Linked DNA regions of Cricetulus griseus. The protein of the gene in region 2 interacts with the protein of the main gene of each other region in a pairwise test. Links are inferred from orthologs where the notes say so. Each region holds a gene or a part of one and is shown on either strand. Other genes may lie near its edges.

The links.
Region 1: the proteins of Ccdc136 (region 2) and Usp2 interact in binary tests that used the Homo sapiens proteins (3 or more experiments, as listed by UniProt). The two-hybrid records come from large-scale screens. The link is inferred for Cricetulus griseus from reciprocal best matches to the Homo sapiens genes CCDC136 and USP2.
Region 3: the proteins of Ccdc136 (region 2) and leukocyte receptor cluster member 1 homolog interact in binary tests that used the Homo sapiens proteins (3 or more experiments, as listed by UniProt). The two-hybrid records come from large-scale screens. The link is inferred for Cricetulus griseus from reciprocal best matches to the Homo sapiens genes CCDC136 and LENG1.
Region 4: the proteins of Ccdc136 (region 2) and Cep57l1 interact in binary tests that used the Homo sapiens proteins (3 or more experiments, as listed by UniProt). The two-hybrid records come from large-scale screens. The link is inferred for Cricetulus griseus from reciprocal best matches to the Homo sapiens genes CCDC136 and CEP57L1.
Region 5: the proteins of Ccdc136 (region 2) and Cchcr1 interact in binary tests that used the Homo sapiens proteins (3 or more experiments, as listed by UniProt). The link is inferred for Cricetulus griseus from reciprocal best matches to the Homo sapiens genes CCDC136 and CCHCR1.
Region 6: the proteins of Ccdc136 (region 2) and Tcea2 interact in binary tests that used the Homo sapiens proteins (3 or more experiments, as listed by UniProt). The two-hybrid records come from large-scale screens. The link is inferred for Cricetulus griseus from reciprocal best matches to the Homo sapiens genes CCDC136 and TCEA2.
Region 7: the proteins of Ccdc136 (region 2) and Fam161a interact in binary tests that used the Homo sapiens proteins (3 or more experiments, as listed by UniProt). The two-hybrid records come from large-scale screens. The link is inferred for Cricetulus griseus from reciprocal best matches to the Homo sapiens genes CCDC136 and FAM161A.

What each region holds. Positions count from the first base shown.
Region 1 is NC_048597.1:155,764,798-155,769,071, forward strand, and holds the start of Usp2 (ubiquitin carboxyl-terminal hydrolase 2), read left to right. Parts: upstream 1-1,433; 5' UTR 1,434-1,575; intron 1,576-4,274. UniProt on the Homo sapiens protein: Hydrolase that deubiquitinates polyubiquitinated target proteins such as MDM2, MDM4 and CCND1. Isoform 1 and isoform 4 possess both ubiquitin-specific peptidase and isopeptidase activities.
Region 2 is NW_023276806.1:198,421,364-198,425,590, forward strand, and holds the start of Ccdc136 (coiled-coil domain-containing protein 136), read right to left. Parts: upstream 2,842-4,227; 5' UTR 2,790-2,841; coding exon 2,732-2,789; intron 1,998-2,731; coding exon 1,890-1,997; intron 1-1,889. UniProt on the Homo sapiens protein: May play a role in acrosome formation in spermatogenesis and in fertilization.
Region 3 is NC_048602.1:21,581,468-21,585,826, reverse strand, and holds the start of leukocyte receptor cluster member 1 homolog, read left to right. Parts: upstream 1-1,483; 5' UTR 1,484-1,552; coding exon 1,553-1,684; intron 1,685-3,527; coding exon 3,528-3,707; intron 3,708-4,188; coding exon 4,189-4,359. Other genes in the region: Tmc4 (transmembrane channel-like protein 4), read left to right, coding at 88-243, 813-891, 1,007-1,075.
Region 4 is NC_048595.1:264,118,559-264,122,084, forward strand, and holds the end of Cep57l1 (centrosomal protein CEP57L1), read right to left. Parts: exon of another isoform or gene 1,592-3,526; coding exon 1,370-1,591; 3' UTR 503-1,369; downstream 1-502. UniProt on the Homo sapiens protein: Centrosomal protein which may be required for microtubule attachment to centrosomes.
Region 5 is NW_023276806.1:229,456,515-229,460,996, forward strand, and holds the start of Cchcr1 (coiled-coil alpha-helical rod protein 1), read left to right. Parts: upstream 1-1,510; 5' UTR 1,511-1,525; coding exon 1,526-1,817; intron 1,818-1,823; exon of another isoform or gene 1,824-1,841; intron 1,842-2,368; exon of another isoform or gene 2,369-2,391; coding exon 2,392-2,543; intron 2,544-2,763; exon of another isoform or gene 2,764-2,828; coding exon 2,829-2,895; intron 2,896-3,111; coding exon 3,112-3,313; intron 3,314-4,482. Other genes in the region: Tcf19 (transcription factor 19), read right to left, coding at 453-690. UniProt on the Homo sapiens protein: May be a regulator of keratinocyte proliferation or differentiation.
Region 6 is NC_048599.1:226,890-231,353, reverse strand, and holds the start of Tcea2 (transcription elongation factor A protein 2), read left to right. Parts: upstream 1-1,641; 5' UTR 1,642-1,763; coding exon 1,764-1,832; intron 1,833-1,906; exon of another isoform or gene 1,907-2,553; intron 2,554-3,721; coding exon 3,722-3,784; intron 3,785-4,095; coding exon 4,096-4,201; intron 4,202-4,464. UniProt on the Homo sapiens protein: Necessary for efficient RNA polymerase II transcription elongation past template-encoded arresting sites.
Region 7 is NW_023276807.1:83,748,009-83,751,762, forward strand, and holds part of Fam161a (protein FAM161A), read right to left. Parts: intron 1,197-3,754; exon of another isoform or gene 1,080-1,196; intron 1,002-1,079; coding exon 772-1,001; intron 1-771. UniProt on the Homo sapiens protein: Involved in ciliogenesis.

The DNA.
Region 1 (4,274 bases), on a different chromosome or scaffold from region 2:
CTATAATGAGATCTGGTGCCCTCTTCTGGCATGCAGGCATACATGTAAGCAGAGCACTGTATACATAAATAGGTAAATCTTTTTAAAAAATCAAGAGGGGGGAAAAATTCAAGATTTGCCTTGGCTTTTTCTTTAAGAGGAAGCCCAGCAGAGTTAGCATTTCACTTTTGTTTTTACATGTGTTTGTTTGTACGTGCACATGTAGCAGTCAGAGAACAAACCCACATGAGTTGGTTCTCTCCTTCCACCTCATGAATTCTGGAAAGCAAACTGAGGTTGTCAGGCTTGGTGGCAAGTGCTTTTATCCACTAGACATCCTTATGGCCAACTTCTGCTTTTTCTGAAGAGTTCAGAGAATTCTTCCCATTGACGTGGTTACCAACTCCAGTCATCATTCACCACTAGCCCTACACAAATAAAAAGAGCAGGGTGCCTTTAAGAGTGACTGATTCCTTAAGGATATTATCCAACTAATCAATAAATAAATAACTTTTAGAAGTCAGGTTTACTTAAGATTAAAATACAAGTTGCCTCTCTTTTTATTCTAATGCTAATAGCATAAAATATTTATCCTTTATTGGGGCAAGTCACCAAATGAACCACCATACTGTGCTGGAATTTACTACCTATCTGTATGTGTTCTCCCTAGGCTTCAGCTACATCGTGCAGCAGATGGCTATAATAGTGGTTCTCATTTTACAGGACCACTAAAAAGATTAAGTGAGAAAACTAATGCATGCAAAATACTCGTCACAGTGTCTAATAAGTAATGCACTAAATAAGTAGCCCATAGGATGAGTTGTTTGAATGGAAATGTGATAGTATCATGTCGAACAGACATAATCTTCCTTATCTGTTTATTATTGTTGTTATTATTGATTTATCTGCTAGGATTTTTATTATTTATCTGATCGATTGGGCTCCGTAAATATTGTTATGACATGTACTTGATTGTTCGTTTAAATAAATGCATTTTTAAATATAAATAAATAAAATGAAAGGGTAGGCATAAAGAAAAGAGCCTGTAGAATAGATCATTCCCGGCCCGGTAGGAAAGCGTGGAGGAACATTAAGCCTTCCCTAAAAGCTGAAAGCTGATATGCCGCCTTCTCCCGTGACGTGACCGTCTGTCTCAGTCCTTCCAACCGCCCGGACCTGTTACATTCCAGTCCACTTCTTTCCTTGCGCCACCGGCTCCAAACAGGCGTGCTTTTGCTGCACGTGGTTCTCTGTATATAGTGGTTGCCTGGGAGATTCACGCAGGGCGGGGCCCCATTGACGCCACAATAGGAACAAGCCAATAGCCATGACGTATATCAGTGATGCGAACTCGGGGTGTGGCTTTCCCGGCCCGGGCGCAATGAGGCGGCTGCCCGCTGGGTGGCGCCGATTTCCCGGGGAGGTCCTTTCTGGGCCCCCGGCGGAGGTGGGGGAGAGGCGGGCAAGCACCGAGCGAGGCCAGGGAGCCCTCTGCGTCAGCCACAGCTCGCTGCGCCGCGCCAGTACCAGCCAGGACTCATCCGCAGCTCCATGCTTGTGCCGGGTTCGACTCGTCCATCCTCCGAGAAGAGGCAGGTACGTGCCACCTGTCGCAGATCGGGGAAGGGGAAAGCCGGGGTCGGTGCCAGCTTGGAGGTTCGGAAAGTAGGGTGTCAACGACAGCCTGGGCAGTCTGGACATGAGAAATGTAGGGCGAGGGCCAACTGTGCGGGGGAACTCCAGCTGTGGGTGCCAGTGTGTGAGAGGGACTGACAGCTGACAGCTCGGGGTGCCAGGAAGAGCCATCTGTGTGCTGATCAATGTGTTCTGAGGAAACAGTTACCGCGGGTACAGGTCCCCGTGCCCGGTGTGGTGTGTAGCCTGAGAATGACGCCTGGACCCTGACACCCCCCTCTCCCCACGTGTGCGTGCAGCTACCTCCCTCCCTGATGTCAAACCTCCTGGGGCTGTCTCTGGTCAGTTTTCCAAAGCGGGGGAAGGGGGCTCAGGGGGAAGCCAGCAGTTAAACGGAAGGGAAATTTTCCACCAATCCCAAATCAGAAAGAGGCAACTTTAAAATTCTCACCAATCCCAAAGCAAAAGCAGCCATGCAGTGTTCCCAGACAAGCAGCTTGCCAAGCGGAGTCCTGGCCAAGCCCTTCTAGCTCTTCAGAGAAGGGAGAACTCTTAGCTCTTGACCCCCAGTGCTTTTGAGAATGAGGTTGCAATGAAGATCTCAGTAGGGGCTGCTTATCTCTCCAAATGTAAGGAAAAGCACACACATCAATCCGCCTACAAAACAAGAGGCATGGAGAACTAGTAGGTGGGCTAGAATAGAGGGTGTCCCCTACTCTTTGATGCTGTAGGTGCAAGCCACTCTGGAATGAGGACTGGAATGAGGGCGTCCTCTGGAGTGCATAGTCAGGACCCAGTCTGAGTCAGTACCCCGTGCTGAGACAGGGTGGAGGCACCAGCCCTGGGGCCTTCCAGTCTTCAGGGAGAGCCATCAAGAAACAGAAGAATCGTCTTGGGAGCAGACAGGTGCACCAAGACCAGAGAGTCCCTCCTCTAGTAATCCCTGTCCAGCCTGCCTTTGCCGCCCTGGAACCCTGAGTCCTCCAACAGGTAGACTGGGACTGCCCCTCTGGAGCTAGGCATTTTCCTGGCAGCCCAGGGAAACCGCACTTGATATTTTTTTCTGAGCAAAGGGGAAAGAAGCCCAAGTAGGCTTGGCCTATCGCCTTGGGAAGGTGGCAAGATTCGTCTACCCTTTCCATTTTGGGGACTGGGCTAGTTCAGAAAACCACAGGACTGGTCTCTGGCATCAGAGCAATTCCCCGAGGGGGTGCCCTGAGGCCTTTTTCTTCTAGGAAGGGTCACCTTCTAGGAAAGGTTGCCTGCTACTGCTAACATTAGTAGTAAGTAATTAGATAAGAAATGGAAATAATCAATAAGATTGCCATTTATTGAACTCTTGCTATGTTCAAGGAAGCTTAAAACTATGATTTTTGTCCTCATCACTGTGAGGCATACCATAATCACTATTGTTGTTATTCGTAGTTTTTTTCGTTTGTTTGTTGGTGCATTCATTTGGGTTTTTGTTTGTTTTTGGTTTTTTCAAGACAGGGTTTTTCTGGGTATCCCTGGCTTTCTGCTTTGTAGACTGGTGGTCCTTAAATTCATAGATCTTCCTGCCTCTGCCTCCCATTGGGATTAAAGGCCTGTGTGCCACCAGCCCTAGTTCTATTGTTCGGGTTTTACAAATTACATAGCTAAGATTCAGAGAGCCTACCTTAGATCCAATAAGGGGAAGGATGGGAATTCAGGCCCAGACCTAGAGGTCCACAATTAAAAAAAAAAAAAAAAAATAGTGGACTGAAACTTGAATGCTGATCCCAAGCACATCTCTGCCCATGTGTCCTGGAGCAGGTCCTCCCCATCTCAGAATCCCTTGCAACTGGACTCGCAGTTTGGCCTGTTCCTGTTCACTCAGTCTGTGACTGACAGCTCTAGAGAATCCACCTTCTCCATGTTTGGGACTCCAATTCAGCCCCAGCCCTCTGCTCTATTCCCTCTTGATCCTTCCTGTTTTAGTTCCAAATATCCCCTCCCAGGATTCTAGCTGGTTCTCCTCAGCTATCACCCGGCCACTGGGCATCAGGTGGAAGGTGGGCATGTCACTGCCCCTTTAATTCTCCTGGGGCTTGGAATGCAAGTGAGTTGCCATCTCTTCGAGGTCAGATAAGATACTATATATATCTAGCTAGTAACCTGAGCTCCGGATTACCCAGCCCCAGTTAGACTCCAGCTTCTGGACTCTACACTGCGGTCCCATCACTGCTGGGAAAGAAACCCCCAGCTCCCATCCAGTGCTCCTGGACACAGGTCAGTAGCTCTCTCTTTGGTCTCTGAGTTTCAAGGGCAACCGAGTGACCCAAGTAAGCCCTGAGTGAGTTTGGAGGAGCATGATAGACGCCACCCACTGGCCTGGTGATCGCAGTAACCAAGCCTGAATGCTCAAGATAGAGAACAGAGGACAGCTGATGCCCTAATGGGAAAGAGATAGGATTCTGTCCAAAGAAGGGGGCACTGGGAGGGTACCTGAGCATAGGAGGATAAGAAAGAGAATTGAAAGGTATCTCTGCTTCCAGGAAGCCTGTTTCTTTGCCTTTTTTTGGACTTACAGAGATAACCACCCTTCCCAACCCCTGGGCCTACCCACTTCTTCTCCACAAGTCAGGGTGGCTATTGTCATCTCTTTCATCTCTGATCTCTTTATCTTACCTCCTCATCTC
Region 2 (4,227 bases):
AGCTGCGTATTTAGGCCAAATCGGGCAAGGTTGGAAAGGCAACAAGCAAAAAACCCACATCCAGGTGGCCTTTTAATAATAGGAAAGTACTGGCTTGGCCTGTAGTGGAGAAGGAAAACATTGGAAGGGAATGGCTCTGAGCTGTTTACTGGGTAAATGTGGGAACCCTTTCAAAAGCAAGCTATCAAATAACTTTGAAAATTTCTTTTTTTTTTTTTAAAGATTTTATTTATTATGTATACAACATTTCAGCTTCCATGTATATCTGCACACCAGAAGAGGGCACCAGATCTCATAACGGATGGTTGTGAGCCACCATGTGGTTGCTGGGAATTGAACTCAGGACCTCTGGAAGAGCAGTCCACGCTCTTAACCTCTGAGCCATCTCTCCAGCCCCGACTTTGAAAATTTCTACACTAACTTTTATTCCTGTTGGGTGCCACCTCTTTCCTGCTGACCCAAGTTGGTTTTCAGGGTAAGTCTGAAACTGAACTCATGCATAAAAGAAAGCCTGCCATCCAAACACATTTTTTTAAAAAATATTTATTTATTTTATGCATCTGGGTGTTTTCCCTGCTTGTATGTCTGTCTATAGTGTGCATGCAGTAGCCTTGGGGGTCAGTTATAGGAGTTATAGGATGGTTGTGAGCTCCCATGTGGGTGCTGGGAATCAAACACAAGATAACTGCTAAGCCATCCCTCCAGTACTGTTGACATATCTTAAAAACTGAATTGGAGGGGCTGGAGAGATGGCTCAGCAGTTAAGAGCACTGACTGCTCTTTCAGAGGACTTGGGTTCAATTCCCAGCACCCACAGGCGGCTCACAACTGTCTGTAACTCCAGTTCTAGGGGACCTGATACCCTCACACAGACATGCATGCAGGCAAAACACCAATGCACATAAAGTAAAAGTAAAATTATTAAAAAAAAAACCAAACACTGAATTGAGCCAGGTGTGATCCTAACACTTGGAAGGCAGAAGCAGGCAGGTCTCTGTGAGTTCAAGCCCAGCCTGGTCTACAGAGCCAGTCCCAGGACAGCCAGGGCTGTTATACATAGAAACCCTGTCTTAGAAAACAAATACCAAAAACAAAACAAAACAAAAAAAACCAAAAATCTTGAATTGGTACTGGTCCCATTTTTGGATTGGTGAGCACTTCTTTTACTGCAATGCAGTTCCCGTAAATAGCAATCTTGTCTTGGTGGAGACTGCTTTGTTTTTAAATTCTGAATCTCTGGTTTTCTTTTTCTAATACCAATAGCATATGGTTCATCTGAGACCCCTTATGCTATCGAGTCTCTAGGGGAGGCCTGTACTGAACTGTAAAAGGGCCTGGGGTCACTTCACAAGAAGTCCTGGTTGATCCTCCCTGCCCTGTCCTGTGGTGTGGTGGTGGGAAGTTGACTTCGATCTCTCCTAAGCCTCTCTTACTAAAGCTGCAAGGCTCCATTCAAAGTTGACAGTGGAGGCATCAGAAAGACAGTTCACACGCCCGCCCATGTCCTGGCTTTTAAAAATAAGAGACAGCTTGGGATCCAGGTCAGCAGGCAGTGAGAACAAGCGCCCCGCTGAAAGGCTGCTTCCAGGCTCCTTTCAGCAGGACCTCTGTCTGTCTGGCAGCTCCCCCAGGACACACAACCTGGTTAGCTGGGTGACTGGAGCCCAAAGGGATGTGCCCAAACTTCCATCAATGCCTGAGCCCAGGACAGGCTTGGAGCTCTGCCACCAGGGAGGAGGGGCCTGAGATGAAGTGAGGGAAGGGCCGTATCCTGGCTCCTCAGAGCTCTGGGGTCAGGGAAGGAAGTAGGATGGAAGGGAACTGGGGAGTAGGGTGATGGAAGATGGAAAAGCTTTTTTTTTTTTTTTTTTTTTCGACAGAAAACTCACCCTCCATAGCTTGCATCCCACGGCGTTCCAGGGACCCCCAGCGTTGGCCTTTCTTCCTCTCACAACCCTCAGATAACTCATAAGAGCCTAAAGTGGTTACTGTGGGTCCTGTGAGCAGGAGAAAGTAGGCACTGTAGGATTGGAAAGAGGCTGGGGGCTGAGGGGAAAGAAAGGGACGCGGATTCTTGTCTGGGAGCCCCGAAATTTGTAATCCCACTGGAGGAGCCTGACTCACGCTGTCCAGCTGTGTGATTCTACTCCCTTCGCCACCTCCCATGCTCTGCCTAAGGAGAGGACCCCAGCGCGGCGCTGCCCAGCCTCAGCACCCCTGATCCAGGATGTCGCCGGCTCCTCTCCCCGCCCAGACAGAAAGAGGGTGAGTGTGTAGCTTGGGGCACAAGGAGAAGAGGGGTAGGATGGGAACTAAGAAAGAAGGTTTTTGGAGGATGCGGGTGGCTCAAGGCAGGGAAGGGAGGGGCGGCCGGACCTGGAGGGAAGGGGCTCCAACCCAGGCCTCTCCTCTCCCCTCCCCTCCCTCACCAAACCTCGCCCAGCCCACCCTCACCCCCTGGTCAAGAGCTTTTATGAACTGGAAGGGTGCAGGCTCGAGACCCCCCCCCCCGCTGCTTCCACCGCCCCTGGCGAGCTGGAAGCACGGTCGGGCTGGAGAGACGAGGTGGGGAGCACTCGAGGAGTGACCGCTAGGGAGGGGACACCCCCAGGTCGAAAGATGGAGGCCGGGGTGGAGGAAGTCGACTCAGTACCCCGGGCACCCGGGGGTCAGGAGGAAGGAGAGCAGAGGGGGAAGGAGCATGGGGAGCTGAGGGAGGGGCGGCTCTGACCTGGGCCGGGGCAGCTCCAGCCCGCGCTCCCGCGCCGGCCCGCGCCGCCTGCCTCCATGGCCGCTCCTGCCGCCGCCGCCGCCACCGCCGCCGCCGCAGCCTCCGAGCAGAAGCCGCAGCCGCGGGGCCGGGGACCGGGAGCCCGGTGCGGTGCGCAGGGAGGAGAGAGGGCGGGGCGAGGGGGCGGGGCCTGGCCTGGCCACCTGACGCGGGTGCCAGCCTGCCGCCGCCCGGAAACCCTCTCTGTCCCCGCGGCTCCGGACCGCATAGGGACCAGCCCTGGAGGCTCCTTGCGCGTTAACAAAGTGCCCAAGCCTCACCGGAGGCAGCTCCGGGTCTGCTGCGCCTCCTGCACGGCGGACGTGAGCTACCGGGTCCTAAGGATGCTCCCAAGGAGTGACAAGATGGGTGGCTTCTGGCGACAGAACCCACCCTAGGTCAGTCGCTCCTAAGGACCTCTCTGCTCTGGGTCTCTGGGCCTGGTCCTACCTGGTGATTGAGGCACAAACAAACAAACAAACAAACAAAAAACCAAGAATGGACTGTTTCCTGCAAATGCGCAGACACGCGCGCACTTCTTGGTCTCCATGGCCGCAGTTCACCGAGCCCATCCATCTCCTCCTGGCGGCCTCACGTGCCACAGAGCTGCTGCAGGGCTGCAGAGTAGGGAACTTGAGACTTGGATGTGCCAACTGCAAGGCAGGCATCATTGCCTTTTCCGAATTCCCACCAAGCCAGAGCCAAGGACTGACTTAGAAGGAGCCCTCCGTAGCCCAACCCTGCTGCCCTCGGTGCACCAAGACCTGTCCTCTCCATGTCCTTTGAGTCACGCCCCCATGTCCTGTGGGCACCGCTGATGTCCCCTCTAACAGAAGGTGTGGGAAACCACAGGGCTTATTTCACTTTTTCAACTATCCACTCAAGAGACGATCTTGATCTTGAGACAGATCTGACTTCTCAGCAGGTCTCATTCAGGTCAGAAGTGGGTACACAGGAACTGGCTCCCCAAGTCAAAATTGTGGGTCGATTCCTTTTTTTTTTTTTTTTTTGAATTAGAAACAAGATGGTTTTACATGTCAACCCCAGTTCCCTCTCCTTGCCCTCCTCCACTACAAGCCCCCCCCCCAACTAAAACCCTACCTATCACATATCCTTTCTGCTCCCCCTGGAGGGTGAGGCCTTCCATGGGGGGGGTCATCAGAGTCTATTGTGTCCTTTGGGATAGGGACTAGGCCCGCCCCCGTGTGTCTGGGCTCAGGGAGTATCCCTCTATGTGGAATGGGCTCTGTGAGGGCGATTTCTAAGCTGGGTACACACACTAGTTCTTTCTCTTGTAGTCTCATTCTTAAAGTTTGGACATGGATTGGCTGTGTTCACCTTCTCAGGATGCCATGTTCCACAGGAACGAAGTACTTCTTTGCCTACCTATCCCTACTTATCAGTCATTTCAGCCCTACCTTGAGAGTCTCTGGACACCCTAGCCCTTCCTTGTTAGA
Region 3 (4,359 bases), on a different chromosome or scaffold from region 2:
GAGGTGCCCGTTCCCCGTTGCGTTCATCACAGGGTCCTCACGCTGGCTGGCCCTGCCTGATCGAGCCCAGTGTGTCTCTGCCCGCAGGATCCCACCTTCTAAGCTGTGCGGTCCATTCCAAGGGAAGATGTCCATTTGGGTCCACATCCCGGAGTCCATCGAAACCCTCCCTCAGTCCGCCCAGAACTTTCTCTACTTTCTGGGGACGCAGGCTTTTGCTGTACCCCTTCTGATCCTCTCTTGGTAAGTGGTTCCAGACTTTATGGTCGGAGTTTGGATATGTGTGGTTTAGTGTTGGGGGGTTGGGGGCTGCTAGAGAGGAGGGCTGCTGCCTGGGTACCTATGGCATGGAAGACAACTGGGGTCTCCCTAGATCTGGTTTGGGGTCTGGATTCCCGGGTCTAAGGAAAAGAAGTCTGGGTTTGAACACTGGGTCTAAAGGAGGTCTGCAGTCTAGACCCCTGGTCAGAGGGAGGAGGGCAGAGGTATGGACTCCTCCTGGTCTGAAGCAGAAGCCAGTGGCCCTTGGGGGTCCTGATCCTGGTTTCTTTTTTGGGGGGGGGTTCGAGACAGGGTTTCTCTGTGGCTTTGGAGATTGTCCTGGCACTCCCTCTTGTAGACCAGGGTGGTCTCGAACTCACAGAGATCCGCCTGCCTCTGCCTCCCTTAGGGCTGGGATTAAAGGTGTGTGCCACCAGCACCGGGCGTGATCCTGGTTTCTAAGGAGCCATATGATGAAGGGGTGTGTGTGTGTGTGTGTGTGTGTATTTATTTTATTTTTCTGAAGTAACTTTCATCCCTGTCTTCCTTAGCATCCTGATGGTGTTTACAATAGCCCTGGCTAACTCTTACGGACGCCTCATTTCCGAGCTCAAACGCCAGATAGAGACGGTGAGCCATGGTGCTTCCCCGGCCAGGGCCCCCTGGGAACCTGGGAAGGACTCGGGTGTAGGGTGTAGAGTAGGCCTGCCTCACTTCCACCCCCTTTCTTTTTTCTTGCCCTCAGGAAGCGAAGAATAAAGTCTTCCTAGCCCAGCGAGCTGTGGCTCTGAGCTCAGCGAACGGAGCCATCTGACCACCCGAGACCCGTGGTTACACCTCCCTATCTGGTACCCTGTGGTCTCTGGATCGAGTCCTCCGCACCCCACCCCACCCCACCCACCCCAGTGCCACACTCTCAGTTGCACCGTTATTAATAAACAACAGCTTTGCATTTTGAAGCCGGGTCCTGAAGCTGGGGACAGGGTTTAGGGAGGGGCCTGATCCGGGTCCCGGGTTGTGTCTGCGAGCAGAGGGCTAGACAAGGCGGGGCAGCATCAGCCCTACACGGCGGCGTCCGGGGTGGAGCGACCCGGGGGTGGCAAACGTTTGGGATTGGCTGTGATGGAGGGCCTCTTAGCCAATCACCCCTGGATAGGGTCATAAGTGGGCGTGGCGTCTGGCCGGGAACCAATGCACAGGCGAGGGTGGGGCCACGGGGCGGGGGCACCCTCGCGCCAATCGGAAGTGTGGGAGTCGGGGGCCCGCTGGCTCGGAGGTCGGCGGGGGGACCATGAATATCTTGCCCAAGAAGAGCTGGCACGTCCGAAACAAGGACAACGTCGCCCGCGTGCGGCGCGATGAGGCCCGGGCGCGGGAGGAGGAGAAGGAGCGTGAGCGGAGGGTGCTGCTCGCCCAGCAGGAGGTGAGCCTGGGCTGGCCCGGAAGCGAGGCGGGCCTCGCTGGGTCGGTGGGTGACTCGGTGGCAGCCGCGGGTCTGTGCTTGCTGACGCTTCTCCGCAAATCCTTTGCTGACTTGCGCGAAACCGTCCTGGATCCCCTTCCCCCCCCCCCCCTGGTGTGGCTGAAGTGACCGCAGGCTAGCACGTCGGAGTGGGACGGCTGCCCCGATCACTTTGGAGATCGTCCGCACAAGTTAATTACTGAGCACCCACTGTATGCGTGCCCCCCCTCCTGCAGAGCGCTAGACTTGACACGACCCTCTTAGAGCGACTTGGAGTTGCAAAGGCTTCAACGAGGAGGGCAAAGGGCGGGCAAGCCGGAGTGCACTCCGTTAGACCTCTTCTTTCTCCACCATTGCTCCCCCAAACACACCCAGAGGCTGGCTTGCTCTCTCTCTCTCTTTTTTTTCTTCTTTCTTTCGGTTTTTTGTTTGTTTGTTTTTATTTTTCGACACAGGGGTTTCTCTGTATTGCTTTGGAGGCTGTCCTGGCACTCACTCTGGAGACAGGGCTCGAACTCACAGAGATCCCCCTGCCCCTGCCTCTGCCTCCCGAGTGCTGGGATTAAAGGCGTGCGCCACCAAAGAGGCTTTCTTTGAAACAGGGTCTATGTAGCCCGGGCTGCCCTGGAACTGGCTATGTAGACCAGGTTGGTCTCGAGCTCTGAGATCTCTTGCCTCTGCCTCCTGAATGTGGGATTGAAGACCACGCATGCATGCACAGGCGTTAGTAATTACTCAATCATGTTAGTTTACAATTAAGTCCCTTGGCCAATCTGATCATGAAGTAGTGTGGGTATTTAAAATTTCGGAAGTAGCCGGGCGTTGGTGGCAATGCAGAACCTACCTGGGATGGGAGTGACACGGGCCATCACTAATGTGTTTGGGATGCTGACCTGGAGCCACACCTGGGGTTCAGATCTTTTGTCCAGAAACTGTGTTTGGCTTCCTAATAAGCTGTATTTGGGAGTTTGTACATGTGTGTGCTGGGCATACACTAAGCAGGGGCTCTATGGGTGAACAAGCCACCTCTATACCTTATAGCTGAGTAGTTTTTGTTTTTTTAGATTTTATTTATTATGTATACAGTCTTCTGCCCACATGCCAGCAGAGGGCACCAGATCTCATTCAAGGTGGTTGTCAGGAATTGAACTCAGGTCCTCTGGAAGAACAGTCAGTGCTCTTCACCGCTGAGCCATCTCTCCAGCCCCTAGCTGAGTGGTTTTTGATAGCTGTTTTTCTTGCATGACTCCAGGCTGTGGAAACCCTTCTGTTTTAGGCTGGGATCTCCCCAAATATCCCTGGTAATCCAGTTAACTGTTTAAAAACAACCATTCTCGTCGGGTGGTGGTGTCGCATGCCTTGAATCCCAGCACTTGGGAGGTAGAGGCAGGCAGATTCTCTGTGAGTTGGAGGCCAGCCTGGTCTACAGACTGAGTTCCAGGACAGCCAGGACTGTTTTACAGAGAAACCTTATCTCAAAAGCCAAACCAAACAAAAACCCCATTCTCCACTTCAAATTAGAAATGGTGTCTTTTCTGGCTCCCAGTACCTCTACCCCCGCCCCCCCCACACAATTTTTTTTTTTTTTTAAACCTTTTTCCAGATAGCTTCTCTCTATGTAGCCTTGCCTGCCCTGGACTCTGTAGACAGGCTGGCCTCGAACCCACAGAAATCCACCTGCCTCTTTCTTCCTCCTGAGTGCTGGGATTAGAGGCGTGTGTCACCACCAGCCGGCTCATGGCCCTTCCTTGGAGCCCCCAGCACTTCTACGTTCTGAATGTCCTGCCTATAACTTTCTTCACAGGCCCGAACAGAATTCCTACGGAAGAAAGCCAGGCACCAGAACTCACGCCCTGAGCTGGAAGCAGCAGAGGCAGGCGCTCCAAGTTCTGGCCCTGTGGACCTGTTTAGGGAGCTGCTGGAAGAAGGGAAAGGAGTGCCCAGAGGCAATAAAGAGCATGAAGAAGAGAAGCGACAGGAGAAGGTAAGCTGCTGGCCTCTGTTGGCTGATTTCGGTGGGGTGGGGTGGGGCGCTACCAGCTGTGACTAACAGCTGTTTCTTATGTTAACCTTAGCTAGTTTATTTTGAGATGACACCTCAACTACACAGACAGGCTGTCCTCCAGCTCACAACCCCCTCCGGCGCTGGCCTCCTGAATGCTAGTCGTCAGCATCTGTCGCCAGATGGCGCTTGTGCTTCTCACATTGTGAACTGTACTGTGGCTCTCCTGCATCCCACTGAAACCACTCCTCTGCTTTGCTGCAGTTTTTCCTTAGACGCCCCCTGCAGATTAGCCATCAGCACTTTTGCGTAGCTGGCCCCTGGTCTGTGATTTCCCTTGTTGAATACCCACCAGCCCCTGCCTCACTGGGAACTCAGGCCCTGGGTTTCCCTACTGCCACATGCCATATCTAGGGCTCCCAGAGGGACTTGGGAAGACTATTTTGTTTTCTTGCCCCCACAGGAGAGGCAAGAGAAAGCACTAGGCATCCTGACGTATTTGGGCCAGAGCGCAGCAGAGGCTCAAACGCAACCTCCTTGGTACCAGCTCCCCCCAAGGCAAGGGGGCTGCCCTCCAGGCCCAAGCCCAGACGAGAAGATCAAGAACCGGTTGGACCCCTTGAGGGACATGCAG
Region 4 (3,526 bases), on a different chromosome or scaffold from region 2:
ATATAGGTAAAATAAATAAACTGCCTTTTATGGCCAGGAATGGCTGCAAATGCGGGAAGTATAGACAGGAGGACTGGCCGGTTCAACACCAATAACTTCATAGTGAGTTCAGGGCCAGCCTGGCCTACTGTCTCAAAAAATGAAAGCTGGGTGGTGACAATGCAGTCCTTTAACACCAACCCAGCACTTGGGAGGTGGAGGCAAGTTGATCTCTGTGAGGCTAGGATGTTTTGTTTTGTTTTGAAGCAGCTCTTTGGGCTTACATACCCAAACTGCATAGTCCCCATCCACTGGGAATTCAGGAACATGAACACTCTATTGACCCTTTGAAATTGGCCCATTTCTTACACCTCCTCCCTAATCCCAAGCTCTTCCCTTTACTGTAGTTTTTTTGTCTGGTTTCCATTTCTATTTCAGTTGATGACATCAGTTTTTTAATTGTCCCAGAAGATAAAAATGTAAGTGTCCCAAAGACATTAATTCCATACTTAATTCCATAGGCTTCTAGAAAGGCAAAAAGTGTCAATTTATTATAAAATATGTATACAACAAAGAAATCCATTGTGACATCACTGATTCTGAAGTATAAAAAGATAGCACATTTACTGAATTCATTTTCTCTTGTGGATAAGGTTGATTAAATGCCTAACTTCTTAGGAAATCCCATTTTTTCTTGGTCGTGTACATTGTCATATACTAAAGAAAATGACATATAACACAAACAAGAAACCAGGAAAAGTTACAGAAGAGTAGGATGAACCCAGGTCCTGGTGTTTAAAAGGAAAGCAGGCTTGGAAAAGCAGAGGAGAATCAGTGTCTTGAAGATGTCATCAGTTATGCATTGCTTCTCACAGCTGTCACAGCAAAGCTCAGCACAGGCATTTCAACAAAATGCAGAATGATTGTGTTTTTCCCTCTCCAAACAAAACACGAACACTGCTGAGACTTAAAACGAGGTACAGTGGCAATCTCAGGGAAGTCACAGCACTCTGTTCACTCCGTGGTGATCTGCAGGTAGCAGCCTACCTAAGTGAACCTGTGGAATGGCACTCGGAGTTCAGGTTTAACTAGATCTTAATGAGTGGCCATTCAGCCCCCTTCTTAGATTGACCTTAGGGAGCTGCAAAATGAATGCTTCTAGCACTTGATGAGGGCAGGGGCCTTTGGATAACAGCAACAACAAAAATCAGCCATTTATTATTCTGGGATTCTTGGTAGGTCATTAGCCATTATTCTAAACATACACAACTTCACATTTCACAGAAGCCCAAACATAATTGAAAATTTCCCAGCTATATTGAATATACACTCTACACAGACTTGTAGGTCTCACTGGTGAGGCTCACTGAAGGCAACAGTTCTGCTAATGTCACTGCTCCCACTTGATGTCATCTCTCCTCAATTTCACCTGCAGATTGTGAACTTGTACTGGACGAAAGCTGCTGTTTTTCTGTAAAGGGTTAGTTTCATTCAAACCCTTCCTGGAGCTAGTTTTAATGTTCTTTGGTCCTTTAGGGTTGTCATGTTCCTGAAGGACACATGAAGATTCATTTATCCTTGAGTTCTGAACTTTTTGCTGCAGCTTACGGACCTGTAGAGAAAAGAAAATCTAATGTTTTTGGTAAAAATTAATATAAATATACCCCAAAGTAGATGACTAGATTGGTGGCTTAAAGATTACGGCAAAAGGTTCAATCCAGCAAGTTACTCAGTGACCACCGGATCCACAGCTGACATTGATAGCCAAGCAGCCGAGTAACACGTAAAACAGCCTTGCCTTCAGGAAGCTCACTGCTCCAATGAATGAGGGACAGAGAATGCTTGAGCTGGGACAACTCTGAAGGGAAGACTGTGCATGTGAGAAGAAGGTCACAGTAGCGAATGGGTGCGGGTGTTGAGCAAAAGGTTACGGGTCAGAACTAGAGCTCCAAGACCGGGAATTCTTTTAGATGATACTAATAGCAAAGTAAAGAATTGGTGCTAGGAACAAGTGTTTATTTGCTTAGGAGGCAATTTTAAATTAAAGATTAAATTTATCACAATAAAAGGCTTATTGAAATACTTATTCAAATTCTAAAATGCATAGATTGGGTAACTCTAAAATTGTGATTATTGTTCTATCCAAAGTTTCTTCTATGCAATTCCAAGAAAGGGTACAAGTTGTATAATCTTTACCCAAACACAATCATAACATTTTTTGTTTTTTACTTGTTATAGTCTTAAAAGGGTGTAAAATGAAAATAACATTTTTCTTTCTTGGCCACAAGCATAACGAATAGAGTAATATTCAGAGATTTTACAAATCACTGTCCTACAGAAGCATGTGTGGATGGAGGGTTGATATACCAGCGTCTTGCCTGGATGCTGACCATCCCTAGGCAGAGAGCTGTATGAAGTACATGATGTGGTTGTGAGGTTTCCTGGAAAGACTCCCTTCTGTTTCAGCAACAGAAGTCATAGTGTTTTAACTTCAGCTCTGGATGGAGTCATTGTCTTACTGTAAAATACTATACTCATGATTCTTCTGTTAAAATATTGAAGGCTATGCCATTCTTAGTTGCTAACACACAAGTACAAAGTCCTCCACACCTGAGTTCTACTAGCTATAGGTGGCTAAGCATAGGTTCCCAGGGAACACACTACAGCCCAGGAGAAGGCAGAGAATGGTTCCAGGGTTGTGGTACCAGGTTTCTGTGTGTTACTGTCTCTGTGGGCACAAAGGACATCACTAAAGCAGTGGGACGGAAGGCAAGAGAGAGGGATGCCGGAAGGGGGACCGGAAAGATGCGAAGGCAACAGCCTTCTATACAGTTTCCCCAAGGTCTGACTCCACACGATCTCGTTTGCTTTCACTCTTATCTTGAAGAACTGAAAAGGAGGCCCAAGTCATTACAGCAGTGATGGCTCTCTGTAAGAGGAACAAGTGACTCCTTTGTGTCTTTTAGAACACCTTACCCACAGACTTCCATTTAGAAGGCCATACAGAGATGTGACATTGAATCCACATATATGTTGCAGAATATTTGTTTAACTATGTAGAGATGTATTGCATTTGTTTAATTATGTAAAGATGTGTTGCTGTTTTACCTTGCCTGCCTAAGGCATCTGATTGGTCTAATAAAAAGCTGAATGGCCAATAGTGAGGGAGGAGGTACAGGTGGGACTTCCGGGCAAGGAAAGTAAATAGGAGGAATAATTTAGGTTCAGGGAAGAAAGAAAAAGAGATGCCAGGGGCCAGAAAAACAGACACGGAGGAAGCAGGAAAGTAGGACATATAGAATGAAAGAAAGGGAAAAAGCCCTGAGGTAAAACATAGATGAATAGTAACAGGTTCAATTAAGTTAAAACAGCTGGTGGGACAAGCCTAAGCTAAGGCTGAGCATTCATAATTAAGAATAAGTCTCCATGTCTTTATACGGGAGCTAGTTGTCAGCCCAAAGAAAATTCCAACTACACATATATTTCTAGCAGTTCTTTTTTATTTTTTCCAACATTGTATGGCAATTGTTTTTGTGTTCTGAAGACG
Region 5 (4,482 bases), about 31 Mb from region 2:
GGGCCTGTCCCACAACGGTATGCTCCTGCTGGCTGTTATAAAACACCTCAGATTAGGCTTCTCCAGAGCTTGTGTCTGACCTAGTAGCAACTGGATGGAAGAACTGTGGATGCCAGGCTTCTGAGGCTGCCTTGAGCTGGGAAGGAATGCCTAGGTCACTAGAACACCGCCTTAATGGGAACAAGGAGGTTCAGCAACCCTGGACACTTGAGTCAAGTGTGAGCATAGTGCTAGAATGTCCACTTTACTGATGACACCCCAGCGCCTCCCTCCTAGCCCTGTGTGAGCTAAAGCAGCCGGGCAGGTTAGTCCTGCACAGCTCTCATGGGCAGATCAAACCGGATCCTGCTTGTCTGCTCTACCAGAGATTGACAGGGACTCTGGGAGGCAGGTATGGAGTCCCAGAGGCTCCCCTACTCATGCCATCCTGGGGCTGCCTGCTCACCGCTTACCTTGACTGCTGTGGTCCTCCAGGCTGACCCGCCAGTCGTCCCCTTGGAGCTCAGCGTGCAGCAATGCATGGACCCCAGAGATGAGGCCCGGCTCCTGCTGGGGCCGCAGGGCCACATCACACAGGTCAGCCCTGCAGCCCAACCGATAGGTGCAGCCTGACCTGGACGGGGGGTGGAAGGTGTAGAGATCACCGCCCCTGCCGCCCCCTATGCGCAGCAGCTGGAAGCAGGGCAGCATGGGGGGGTGCTCCCCTCTGCACCGCTTCTCAGCAGTTCATCACCTCTCCTACTCCCAGGCCATGCACCGGGGGCTTCGGTTCAGTTGTCTGACGTCAGCAGCCCCACTGTGGGTAATGCCAACTTGAGAAACACAGATTTCCAAGAGCGCCAGAGGCCTGGACACGCATGCAACCGCTGTAGCTAGCGGCTGTCAAGATGAGACTTCAAAAGCAATTCCGGAGAAGCCCTTTCGCGATGCAAAACCAGGAAGACGTCCTGTGGGACCTCCGTGATGCCGGGTCCTCAGGCCGCAGAATATCCGGGGAGGCTGTAGCAATCTGTTCAAGGCAAAGCTACTTTAAGCGGCAGCTGGGGACACCCCAGCGGGGTGAGGAGGTCCCGCTACACGGACGTGCGTGCGACACGAACGTGTCCCCTCGAGTGTAAGCAGGAGCCGGGAGGGAAGCCTACAGGTCAAACTTCCTAATCCAGGTAGAGCACCCCTTCTGTCCTGCCCCGAGGGAAGGGAATCCGCTGTCACCCACAAAGGGCGGCGCAGACAGGTCCCTAACTCTGCAACAAGGTGGAGCTCACCCTCTCCTCTTGCGCTTGCGGGGTGCCCCGAAGAAGGACTCCACACCCTGTGCCCCTCGCTCCCGCTGCGGTTTGACAGCCAGGAAGCCGCCCTCCGGAGGGCGCGGCTCGGGCGGGCGAGCGGGCGAGCCGGCGGGCGCGCACCGCGCAGACTCCTCCTACGGAATTCCCGGGTCCAGCTTCGCGCCTGCGAGCCCGCGCCCCTCCCCAGGCTGTCTCTGATTGGCCATCTGACTCGCCCTCCTCCGCTGTACTGGACGATGCGCAGGGAGGGGCCGTCCATCTCCCGCCCTCCGCCGTTTCTGATTGGCCTGCAGGTTTCCCGGGTTCCCGGGATGGGGCGGGGCCGCCAGGGCGCGGAGAAGGCCTGGAGGAGTCAGTGTGCCTGCGTGCGCCGTTCTTCTTCCTTCCTCCTTCCGGCAGGCGGGGCGAGTTGGGGCTTTAGAGCATCCCGCCAACCCCACCCGCCGCGCGCATGCGTGCTCAGGGCGGGAAGCCTAGCGGGGAAGCCAGGGGCTAAGGGGCGTGGCAAGAAGGCGGACCTCGCGCTGGGTAAGGAGCGTTCGGCCGGAGTCGGTTGGTTGGGGGCGGAAAGGGGCCTGAGAGGGGGTGCTCAGGAGGGTGGAGGGGGTCCACAGGGCAGGAGGGGTGCAGGAGCCCGGTGAAAGAACAGATGAGGAGGTCGGGGCAGCCTTACAGCTCAGGGTCCTAGTGAGGGGGATGAGCCCGTGGGTGTGTGCAGGAGAGGAGAGGGCAGACCTGAGGACAGCGAGCGACCGGGACCATAACGTCAAGAAAAATGCAGAGTAGGACTAGGAAGAGAAGCGTGTAGGGATCTCGTTGAGTGGAAAACAAACAAACAAACAAAAAATTTGAGTTCGGACGGGAGTTGGACAAAGAAGATGCTGCAGGACTCTGAGCAGCGAAGGGCTTCGGGAATGGAAGCAGAGGGGATAGAGAGAAACTGAGGCCCGCTGCAGGGAGACTCCGATGAGATAACAGGAAGCTGGCTGCCTGGCAACGCGCTCCAGGCTGCTTGCATTCCCTGGGGATCCTAGGGAAGCCGCTTAACCCTACATGAGGCCCCATTCTTCTGGTGCCAGGCCTTGGGCTAACGCTTTTGTAGGAAATGACCCAGAAATCATGGCGCGGTGGTGCCTAGATGGGTTTCCCAACGTCCCTACCATACCATGGCGAGAACTGTGGAGACGGGGTTCACAACAGGCCCGCTCACCTCCAGACCAGAGCTACAGGGATCGTAGACACTTAAGGAGGAAGGTAAAGGCACCACTCACAATCCTGTAGTAGAAGCAAAATCCCCAAGAGCATCCCCTGGCCCCCATCTCGGTACATTTACCCCATGATTGTTGCCTGGTTCCTTTGTCAGGAGCGTGTGTTCGGGACAAGCAAGTCTGCCTTGTTAGGGAAGTAGGGAGAGAGAAGCTCAGAGCTGGGCAGATCTGTCAGTAACTGAAGGATTGTGGCTTTGTTATTATAGGACTTCCTCTTTGGAAGGTGGCCTGAAAACTGAACTGGAGTCTCCTTGTTTCTCCTACTGTCCAGGGGAACCTACACTCTTGCGGACAAGATCGAGAGGCTTCAGATAGAGTGGAGATGTTGTCTCCCTCAGGTCAGTAAGGCCAATCAAGGAGGCTGGGAAGTCTCTCTGTGTCTCTCTGCCTCTGTCTTTCTCCCTCTCTCCCTCCCTCTCCTCTCTTTCTCTCCCTCTCTCTCTCCTTCCCTTCCTCCCTCCCCCTCCCTCCCTCCCTCCCTCCCTCCCTCCCTCCGTCTTCCTCTCTCTCTCTGAGAAACTGACAGTCTTTACTCTTGTGACCCACCCCCTCAGGTTTTGCTGGACTGGTTCCTCCCTCCCACTTCCAAGCTCGGCCGAGAATGGCCCCGACCTGGGCTTCAGACATTCCCCAGTTCCAATCCACATTTGACCAAGATGTCCTAGAGAGGCGGCAGCTGGACTCTCAGAGGCCCACAGTGACCATGAGGGAACAGGATGTCTATGGAGATGGGCAGGGGCCAGGGCAGAGAGGCAGGTAGGGATCTGTCAATCACCTTTTTCTCAGACTTGCTAATGATCCTTTATACACACATTCCTTTATTTCAGCAGCCCTGGGTTCCATAACTTGTGTGGTTTTCTGTAGGCCATTGTTGGTACCTACACTGCATATACCATTATGCCCTGGAGAAAATCAAGAGAGAGGAGAGAGAGAGAGAGAGAGCGCGCGCTCTGGACTTAAATTCCCAATTAACAAGTGTTGCTAGAGTTTCTTTTCCTCCAGGTCCTGCCACCGCTTCAGCCCCAAATAAACACACAGACACTATATTAGTTATAAAACAGTTGGCCAATGGCTAGGGCTTCTTGGTGGCTAGCTCTCTCTTCATCATTAACCCACTTCTATAAATCTATGTATTTCCACGTGGTCTTGGCTTACCAGAAAATGCCCAGACCTGTTACTCCTTTGGCAGCTACATGGCATCTCCTCCCTGCATCTCTCCCAGGGTTCTCCCTGTCTCCCTGCCCCACCTATCTTCCTGCCTCTTTTGGCCAAACAGTGTTTTATTCATCAACCAATAAAAGAAACATATATACTGAAGGGCATCCCCCATCATCTCCTCTTTTCTGTCTAAATAAAAAGAAGGGTTTACTTTTACTTTAACATAGTAAAATTATATATAACAAAAACAGTTATCAAGTAAAAACATATAGTTAACAATAAAGAAGGAGTGTAAATGTCTGAGGGAGGAGATGGATTGCCCAGAAGCCATTGTGAAACGAAGTGACATGCTGGCTCTTAGTTAAAAGGGCCTTTCCCGGCATACACCACTGGAGCTGGCTATGCTCGGCATATGTGGTTTAAGATTTTATTTTTGAGCCGGGCATGGCCTGCCTTTAATCCCAGAGAGGCAGACAAGCAGGCAGATCTGAGTTCAAGGCCACTCCCTCCCTGGTCTACAGAGTGAATTCCCTGACAGCCAGGGCTACATAGAGAGAATCCTGTCTGGGGAAAAAAACAAAACAAAACAAAAAAGATTGTATTTTTATTTATGTGCATGTATCTGCATGTGAGCATGCCCACCTGGAGGCCGAAAGAGGGTGTAGGATTCCCTGGCACTGGAGTGACAGGCACTGTGAGCCATTGAATGTGGGTGCTGGGAGCTGAACTGGGGTTCTCTGCAGGAGCAGCAAGCTCTCTCAACCACT
Region 6 (4,464 bases), on a different chromosome or scaffold from region 2:
CCCCCCCCCCGTCATCTTCCAAGGGTTAGGGTGGAGGACAACACCATGTTGGAATGAACACCTGGTGATGTCCAGATGGTGTTTGGTGGGGAAGTTTCACTGAAGACAAAACTCCCAAAATCAGAAAGGTATGTGTGTGTGGGGGCACTGCGAGGTTGTGATGTGGGGGGTGACTTCTCCGAGCAAGGGCCAGAAGGTTGGATTTGGAGCTCCTGTAGTCTGGGATCCGGGCTTTTTGTTTGTTTTTGGGACAAGGGCTCTTACAGCCCAGGTTACCCTCAAACTGGATATATATCTGAGGATGACTTTGAACTTCTGATCTTCCTGCCTCTGCCTCCCAAGTGCTGGGAGTACTGGCAGGTACCTGTGATGCCTGGTTTTATGCAGTACTGTGGCTTCTTTATGATAAGCAAACACTACCAACTGAACTTATCCCCAGCTCAGGGAATGAGGATTTCTAGGGCTGGGTTGTGGGGTCAGTGCCAACCCCACAAGTGAGGACCCCTCAGTAATGAACACATCTTTGATCTGTTTTTTTTTTTTTTTTTTTTTTTTTTTTTGTTACCATAGCTCCCCTGCTGGCGATCTACTGGATTTTCCTCTGGAAGGAGCCATTGTCTGAGCAGATTTGTGGGTTGCTCCTGCCACCTACAGGCTGCTGTTGCTCATCACTGGGACGACTAGTTTTGTGGATAGTCCCTTCAGCATGGTTGAAGGCCATGGGGCTTTACTGCTTGTGCTGTTGTAGGGTCCTGCAAGCATCAACTCAGTGCTCAAACACAGGGTTAGAGCAAGGGCCAAGATGCCAGGACAGGGCAGAATTAGAGTTGGTATGGGAGCTGGAGAGCTGCGCTTCTGAAAAAGCTTTGTTACCTACGAGGAATTCAATACTTTTTCCTTATGGTGAAGATGTCACAACTGATTAAATGGCCATCCCAGGCCATTTGCACATTCCATTTGCACCCTGGCCTTGTGGCTACTGTGGGTACAGTAACTGTCTTTTGGTACCGGCACACCTGCAACCATCAGCAACACAGAAGAGGAGAAGAGTACCTCTTTTCCTTGCCTGGGCATGGTTATGATGTTTCCCAGTACCTGAGCCCTGCCCTATTCTCAGTGTACAATGTGAACCGGATGATCCCGCGCTTCAGGTTGGGAGATGACTCTTAGAGCAAAGAACAGAACCTGGGATTTACACCCTGTTAGGTTGACTTCAGCGCCTGAATTCTTGCCCAAGAAGCCCTCTCAGAATCCGGGACCGATACCTCCCAGTGTGCGCTGCATCTGCGTAGAGTCAAGAACGACCCAAAGTTGGCTTGGTAACGATGTAAGTGGGGTTGGCTGAGAGGTCCCGACGCCACAGCACTTCTACGAAGTGAAGGCGACCGGGGTGGACTAGCCAACGATCAATGCATCACCAGGGCAAGCGGCTGAGATGGGTTGAATTAAAGACCATATTGCAGTATACTCCTCCCCTCAAGTCCATCCTCTCCCTGGCATTCGGAGGGCGTGTGGGCGGTCGCTCCGCGGATGGCGGACATTCGGAGGAACTACCTTTTCCAGCGGGCCGCGCGCCACACGCCGCACAGTCGTCTGGGAGTTGTGGTCCCGGGGGCGGAGACTTTTTTTTTTTTTTTTTTTTTTTTTTTTGAGTGTGTTGCACGCGGCCGCCTGGCGGAGGTTTGGACCGCGCATCTAGGCGGCGGCGGCCGAGGTCTGGCCGGGTGGCGCAACCGGCGCAACCCGCCGCCACCGAGGTGGTGATGGGCAAGGAGGAGGAGATTGCGCGGATCGCCCGGAGGCTGGACAAGATGGTGACCAGGAAGAGCGCGGTGAGGGGCGCGGGCCGCCAGGACCCTGGGGCCCCCGCTCCGTGGAAACCGGCTGAACCCACCCTCGGGGAGAATGATACTCAGACTAGTTGAGATCCCGGCCCCAGGCCCGCCCTCTACCGTGGGACTGCCGCTTCGCACTGGACGCCAAGCTGACTTGGGAGCCGCCCACTGCCCCCTCGCCCAGCGGTGGTCGCGGGCGTTCTTAGCCCAGCCGTTGTCTCCCATGTCTGCCCCCACCCTTCAGAACTAGGTTTCTTTAATAAATTTCCCTTCCTGTTTAGTCAAGCCTCAGGCAGCAGCAAGTCGATGTGGCCAGACTGTAGATTTCGAAATGAACCTGTGTCCTTGAGACCCTAGGAGACCGACTCTGCCCCTCACCTTGCCCCAAGGCACTGTGGGCTTGGCCTACAGTCTAGCCTGCCTTCCTACCCTGGCCACCCTTGTAACCTTTCGGGAGCATCCTTAGGGAATGATGGCACCTGCCTGCATCTTGCCTTCCGTGGGTGGGAAGGGACCAGGAGGTGGCCTTAAGGCTAAGTATGACCCGCCCATCCGCGGCACCAATCCCAGGGCAGCACAGATGGGGGCTGAGTCATGAGTCTGTATAGCCTCCCCATAACTGTGCTTGAAGTGGAGGGCTGCAGGACAGCTTTTGAGGACCAGCAGGATTGTCCTGGGTTCCTGTTGGCCAGGGTTGGGGGGCTAAATCCGGAAGAGAGTTAGGTTCCCCTTTATGCCCCAAACAGCCACATTCTGTAATAACGGGTGCAGAGGCCTGCTGGTGCTTCTTTCCTCTAAGGGTGTTAAACCCAAATGACAAAATTGGAACTGAGGGTGGCAGAGATGGGGTGGGAATCTACAGGGGCTTGGAAACTGGCAGAGACACAGCAAGAGTGGAAGGCCACAGACAGGACTCTATAGTGGAGAAGGGAAACGGCAGAAGTTCTGGGAGGTAGCAGCAACCTGAGAGGCTCCTTGGAGCTGCTGGTGATTTGTTCGGGCCTTCTGGGTGGGAGTACAGAGCTGTTGGGGATGAGTTCCCCTGGCTCCAAGGATCAGGTCTTCTCAGCAGGATCTGCTTTAGGGCCATGAAACAAGGCTGCAGTCTGAGCAGATAATTAACATAGATTGGAGGTCAGCCCCAGGCTCTCCCACTGTCTCTACTGTGGAAGGTTTGAAGGGCTGGATGGGTTTTCTCTGCCTCTTTGAGGCATGTAAAGACACATGAGTTCATAGTGGTAACCTGGAGAAAAGCAATTGCAATAGTGTCCGATGTTGGAAGAGTCTGTCAGCTGTGGGAAGGAGGTGCCTGAATAAAGCTTCGAAGTGCTAGGGAGAAGAGCAGTCTTAGGCAGAGTGAGGGTTTTAAGGTAGGAATAGGAGGAGCCTGCCTTTGAGGTGCAGCCTGTCTGTAGATACTGAAGAATAGAGCTTGGGCAGAGGCAGAAAATCAGGGTTGTCTGTTACAGTACCCAGGAGAAGTGCTACACTGATGGATGAGCACTTTGAGGAAAGGCATAGATGGACTAAGTCTAAGGAACCTGAGTTATATCTCTTGAGTGTCCTTCCATGTTGAGCAGAAACTGGGATTTTTTTCTCTAGTAGTTTGCTCAGTGACCTGGTGTGGTTACCATGAGGTCTGGAGGTCACCACAGATGCAGGGTGAGAAACCACCTGATCTTTGAGGAGAGCACTATTAAGCTGTTTGTCTCTAGTCTTGCCCTAGTGCAGGGGCAGTAAAAAGCCGCTGTTGTGGTAGTGTGTGCAGTGCTCTGGTCTTCTCAAGGTAGAGGAGTGGCTTCTTTCTGACATGTAAATTGTCCCCCCATATGATCAGGAAGATCCACTAAGGTTTAGTCTTTTATGAAGGTCCTCTTTCCTTCCAGGAGGGAGCCATGGATTTGCTTCGGGAGCTGAAGGCCATGCCTGTTACATTACACCTGCTCCAGGTAAGCTCTTCTGCTTCTGGTATAAGATGATTCCAGAGACAGTAACCAAGAACATCTAGCAGAGTTCCTTATATGACTCATACAAGGCTTAGTTGGCATAAACAACTGCTCTAAGGAGAGGGCTTCTGATTCTCTCTGGTGATCATTGAAGTGGGAGGGGGCCCTCTGGGTTCCAAGTGAGATCATAGCCATTGGGGAGAGAGGTCTTTCTGTCCCTGCCCATTCCCCAGCCCTTCCCTGTGGGAGCCAAGTGACGATCTGCCTCTGGAACAGGTCCCTACCACCTCTGACCCAAGCCACTTGCCTTGCAGTCCACCCGTGTTGGGATGTCTGTCAATGCCCTGCGGAAGCAGAGCTCAGATGAAGAGCTCATTGCACTGGCCAAATCCCTCATCAAGTCCTGGAAGAAGCTCTTGGGTACGGGTCAGAATGTGAAGGGTGGCTCTTGCTGCTCAGCACAGCATAGAGTGATGACTCTGCTGCTCTTACTCAGGCTCTCTGGTTGTGGGATACAAAAAACAGGCCAGAGAGTACTCATCCCTGGTCTGGAAGTGGATGAGGATGATGGAAGATGATGTCATCTGTTGTGATGGGGAGGGGATGGCCTGGGAGGCGTGACCATTGAGACAAGTGTATATGCTGGGGAGGAGATTTTCAAGCTGCGGGAGGTCAACAGAAAA
Region 7 (3,754 bases), on a different chromosome or scaffold from region 2:
AGGTCATAAGGGAATATGGTAAGTTCTAAGACCCATCCTGGACTATATATAGTAAAGATCATGTTTCAAAAATAAAAAAAAGAGTAAATAAGCAAAGCAGCCCAGACTAAATATTTTGCTACATATCTGTAAGCATAAGTAAAGCGAGAAAATACAGGTGAAGGAGCAGGAGAGATGGCTCAGCAGTTAAGAGCACTGGCTGCTCTTCTAGAGGACCTGGGTTCAATTCCCAGCACCCACATGACAGCTCACAAGTCTCCATGGGCACCAGGCACACATGTGGTGCAGACAAACATGCAGGAAAAACACATTAAATTACAATAAAAACAAACAAGCAAACAGATGGCCACTAAATGACCCTCAAAGCAAGAGGTAACTTAATAAACTGATAAGCCATTAAACATTTTGAATAAAATCCCACCTCTATATATCATTAATACTAGGAAGGACCTAGTCTGTCTATCTCCTGTGTGCCAGGCCTGCCTGAGATCTGACACCCAAAGACATGACACTCCAGCGTCTCAGAAACAGGAGGTCATGCTCAGTTTTTGGTGGGAGGCAGGAAAGCATTTTCAGCAAGAGTGTCATCCTTAAGTTCAATTTTGTTTCCAAACCATGCTGGAGATCAAACCCCAAATGTATGTTAGACAGGCTCTCACTGTTGCTGAGGACCTGATATTTAGAAGCAAATACTCCAGGATATTTTGTTTCATACTTAGTTTAAATATTTATCTTAGGTCAGTCCTCAGATGACACCGAGCACAAACTTACCTAGAGGAGACACTAGAATAATCTTCCCTGGTGATCACTGGCCAGACGTCTTTTATATTTAGCTTGTCCTGGTACATTTTCTCTAATTTTGCCATGGTTTCTGCATGGGCGGCCTTTAGCTCTCTTAGTTTCCTGAAATACTCTTCATTAGAGTGGTAAACATCAGAAAAGTCCACAATGTCCTGGATTGTCACATCTTCTTTTTCCCTGGGAAAGCTGTTACCACTAGCCTGATGGGAGGAGAAATCCATTATATGCTATTTTAAATGAAATAAACAATTGATGCTGATCCAAACGCTGGTTCTTACATATGTCCCACTCTGTAGCCCAGGCAGGCTGCCTCTGCCTTCTGCTCCCTGGGATTAAAGGTGTGTTCCACCAAGCCTGGCTTCAATCCATTTTATAATGGTTAGGTACCTAGAAAACTGACAGTAAATATTCAAGTTGGGACACTTAACACTGCAGAAGACAGAATGGGACACTGCTACGCAGATTTCAACCAGAAGCCTCTTCTGAGTTGTGCATCTTTGCTGACAAGAGAGAAGCTACTCTCCTGTACCTACAGCCAGCTCTTGAGGGGTCCCTGCCTCGGGGCTCCAAGGGTGTGCAGTGGAGAGAGGGCAGGCCCAGGGACAGTTCTCAGTTGCTCTTCCAAGGACCCAGGCTGGGATGACCTTGGAGGGGAGAAGGACACGGGGCAAAGAGAGTTTCAGAAGGGTCACTGCTGTGGGCAGCAAGCAAAGTAACACCTGTGTATGGCAGACAGTTTGGGCAGGAGAAGTGAGCGTGGAGAAATACTGCATGTACACTTGCATGCAGGAGACACTCCACATACAAGTCAGGACTGGAGGGTTCTGACTGGACTTTCTCTCATCCCTTTTACCCATCGTTCTGTTCTTTTTAAAGAGATAAAAACCTCACTTTCTAGAGCTACAGAAGCAGCTTAGTTGGTCAAGTGCTTGCCATGCAAGCATAAGAAGCCATAAAAAAGCCAGGCGTGGTGACACAAGTTTGTGACCCCAGCATTGGGGAGATGAGACAGGACCTGAAGCTTCATCAGTGATCTCTAGATTCCAGTGAGAAACCCTTCCTCAAATAATGATATGATTTCATAAAATAAGTCTGTTGAGCCTTTCCAATGGGAAAATTCAGAAGAGTCCATTACAAATCATACCTTGGGCTGCAGAAGGGCCTTGGCTGTAAGGTGTCTGCTGAGCATGTACCAGACTGTGGGGTTATTCCCAACACAACGAGAAAGGAGGGGATGGATGGATGGATGGATGGATGGATGGATGGATGGATGGACAGAGGGCCATATTTTTAAGATTATGTGCATACCTGTGTGCATGGGTGAGTACAGGTGCCCATGGAGCTGGGGGTTCAATCCCCTGAAGCTGGAGTTACAAGTGGTTGTGAGTTGCCTGGTGTGGGTGCAGGGAACCAAATCCCAGTCCCTACAAGAGCACCAAGTGCTTTAACCACTGAGCCATCTATCTAGCCTCAGATTTTTGTTGCTATTTTTTTTAAAGTTTTTGAGAGGCTGGTGTTGTCCCACTTGGAATAAATTCTAGAAAACAAATGAAATGTAGAAACTTGTTATCAACAACTCATAGGGCCAAAGACCTATTTAATGTATGTCACATGAGTTGCTTAGGAGAATTTGTTGCTTTTGCAGAGGACCCAGGTTCAGGTCCCAGGTTCATAAACGTGGTGACTCACAATTCTTAACTCCCGTTCTAGGGATATAGCGCCCTCTTCTGGCTTCCACAGGCACTGCGCACACATGGTAATCACTTAGACCTGCACAGACAACTGCCTCACGTAAATAAAAATTGATGGGGGCGGGGGCTAGAGAGATGGCTCAGAGGTTAAGAGCGCCAGCTGCTCTTCCAGAGGTCCTGAGTTCAATTCCCAGCAACCACATGGTGGCTCACAACCATCCATTATGAGATCTGGTACCCTCTTCTGGTGTGCAGATACACATGAAAGCAGAATGTTGTATACAAAATAAATAAATAAATAAATAAATAGATAAATAAATAAATAAAAATCTTAAAAAAATGATGGGGGCAGGGGGGATGAGCAGAGTTCCCCCAAGGCCCTGCATTTGCCCCCTTTCTCAATGCTCGCACTCCAGAAGTCTGCACAGCATACTCGCCCACTCTCCACTCAAACACCACCTCCAGAGAGGTTTCGTGGACTATCCCCTTTGGAATGGCCACTCTCCCAACTCACTGAGTCCTCTTCTCCACTTCATTTCTCCAGAAGTGTTTACTCACACCATCTGCCCCGTCCTGGCTGATCTGTATACCCGGGCCTGCTCCAGCTGGAGAAGGGTTTGTACAAAGGCAAGAGTTTATTTGCAGGGTTCTTTCTTGTTCTCAGCTTCTAGGAAGGAGCCTGACCAAGAACAGATGTCCAGTACATATTTGTGGAAAGAAAGAATGTACAGTTAAAGAATATGTAAGCTTCCACCACAGGAAAACAGCAGTGTTTCCTTTCGCAAGACTGAGCTGTGTCTGGAAGGGCAGGTTGCTGAAGGACCACCTGATCTTACTGAATACAAAGGAAAAGGCCCATGATCCTAACATAAATGAAAACCTAAAACTCAGGCTGTAAAACTGCCAGTGTGTTATAAACATATGCCCTCTAGGAGAACAGTGGGCAGTTTTCAGACAGAACACCCGTGGCTCATTCTCTCCCCCACAGACTCTCTAACAGGTCCTATGTCATCTACACTGAAGACAGCAGGGGACTGTGGCCTGGAAGAACTGTGTGAAAGGGAGACACAGCAGGGTGGAAGCAGAGACAGGCCTGAGGAGCTGCACACACACACTGAGGTCTGCATGTGGCTACTCACTGTTAATGCAAGCAAAACTCAAATAAACTCTCCTGGTTGTTTCACTTTTTTTTTTTTTTTTTTTTTTTTTGGTTTTTCGAGACAGGGTTTCTCTGTGTAGCTTTGGAGCCTATCCTGGCGCTC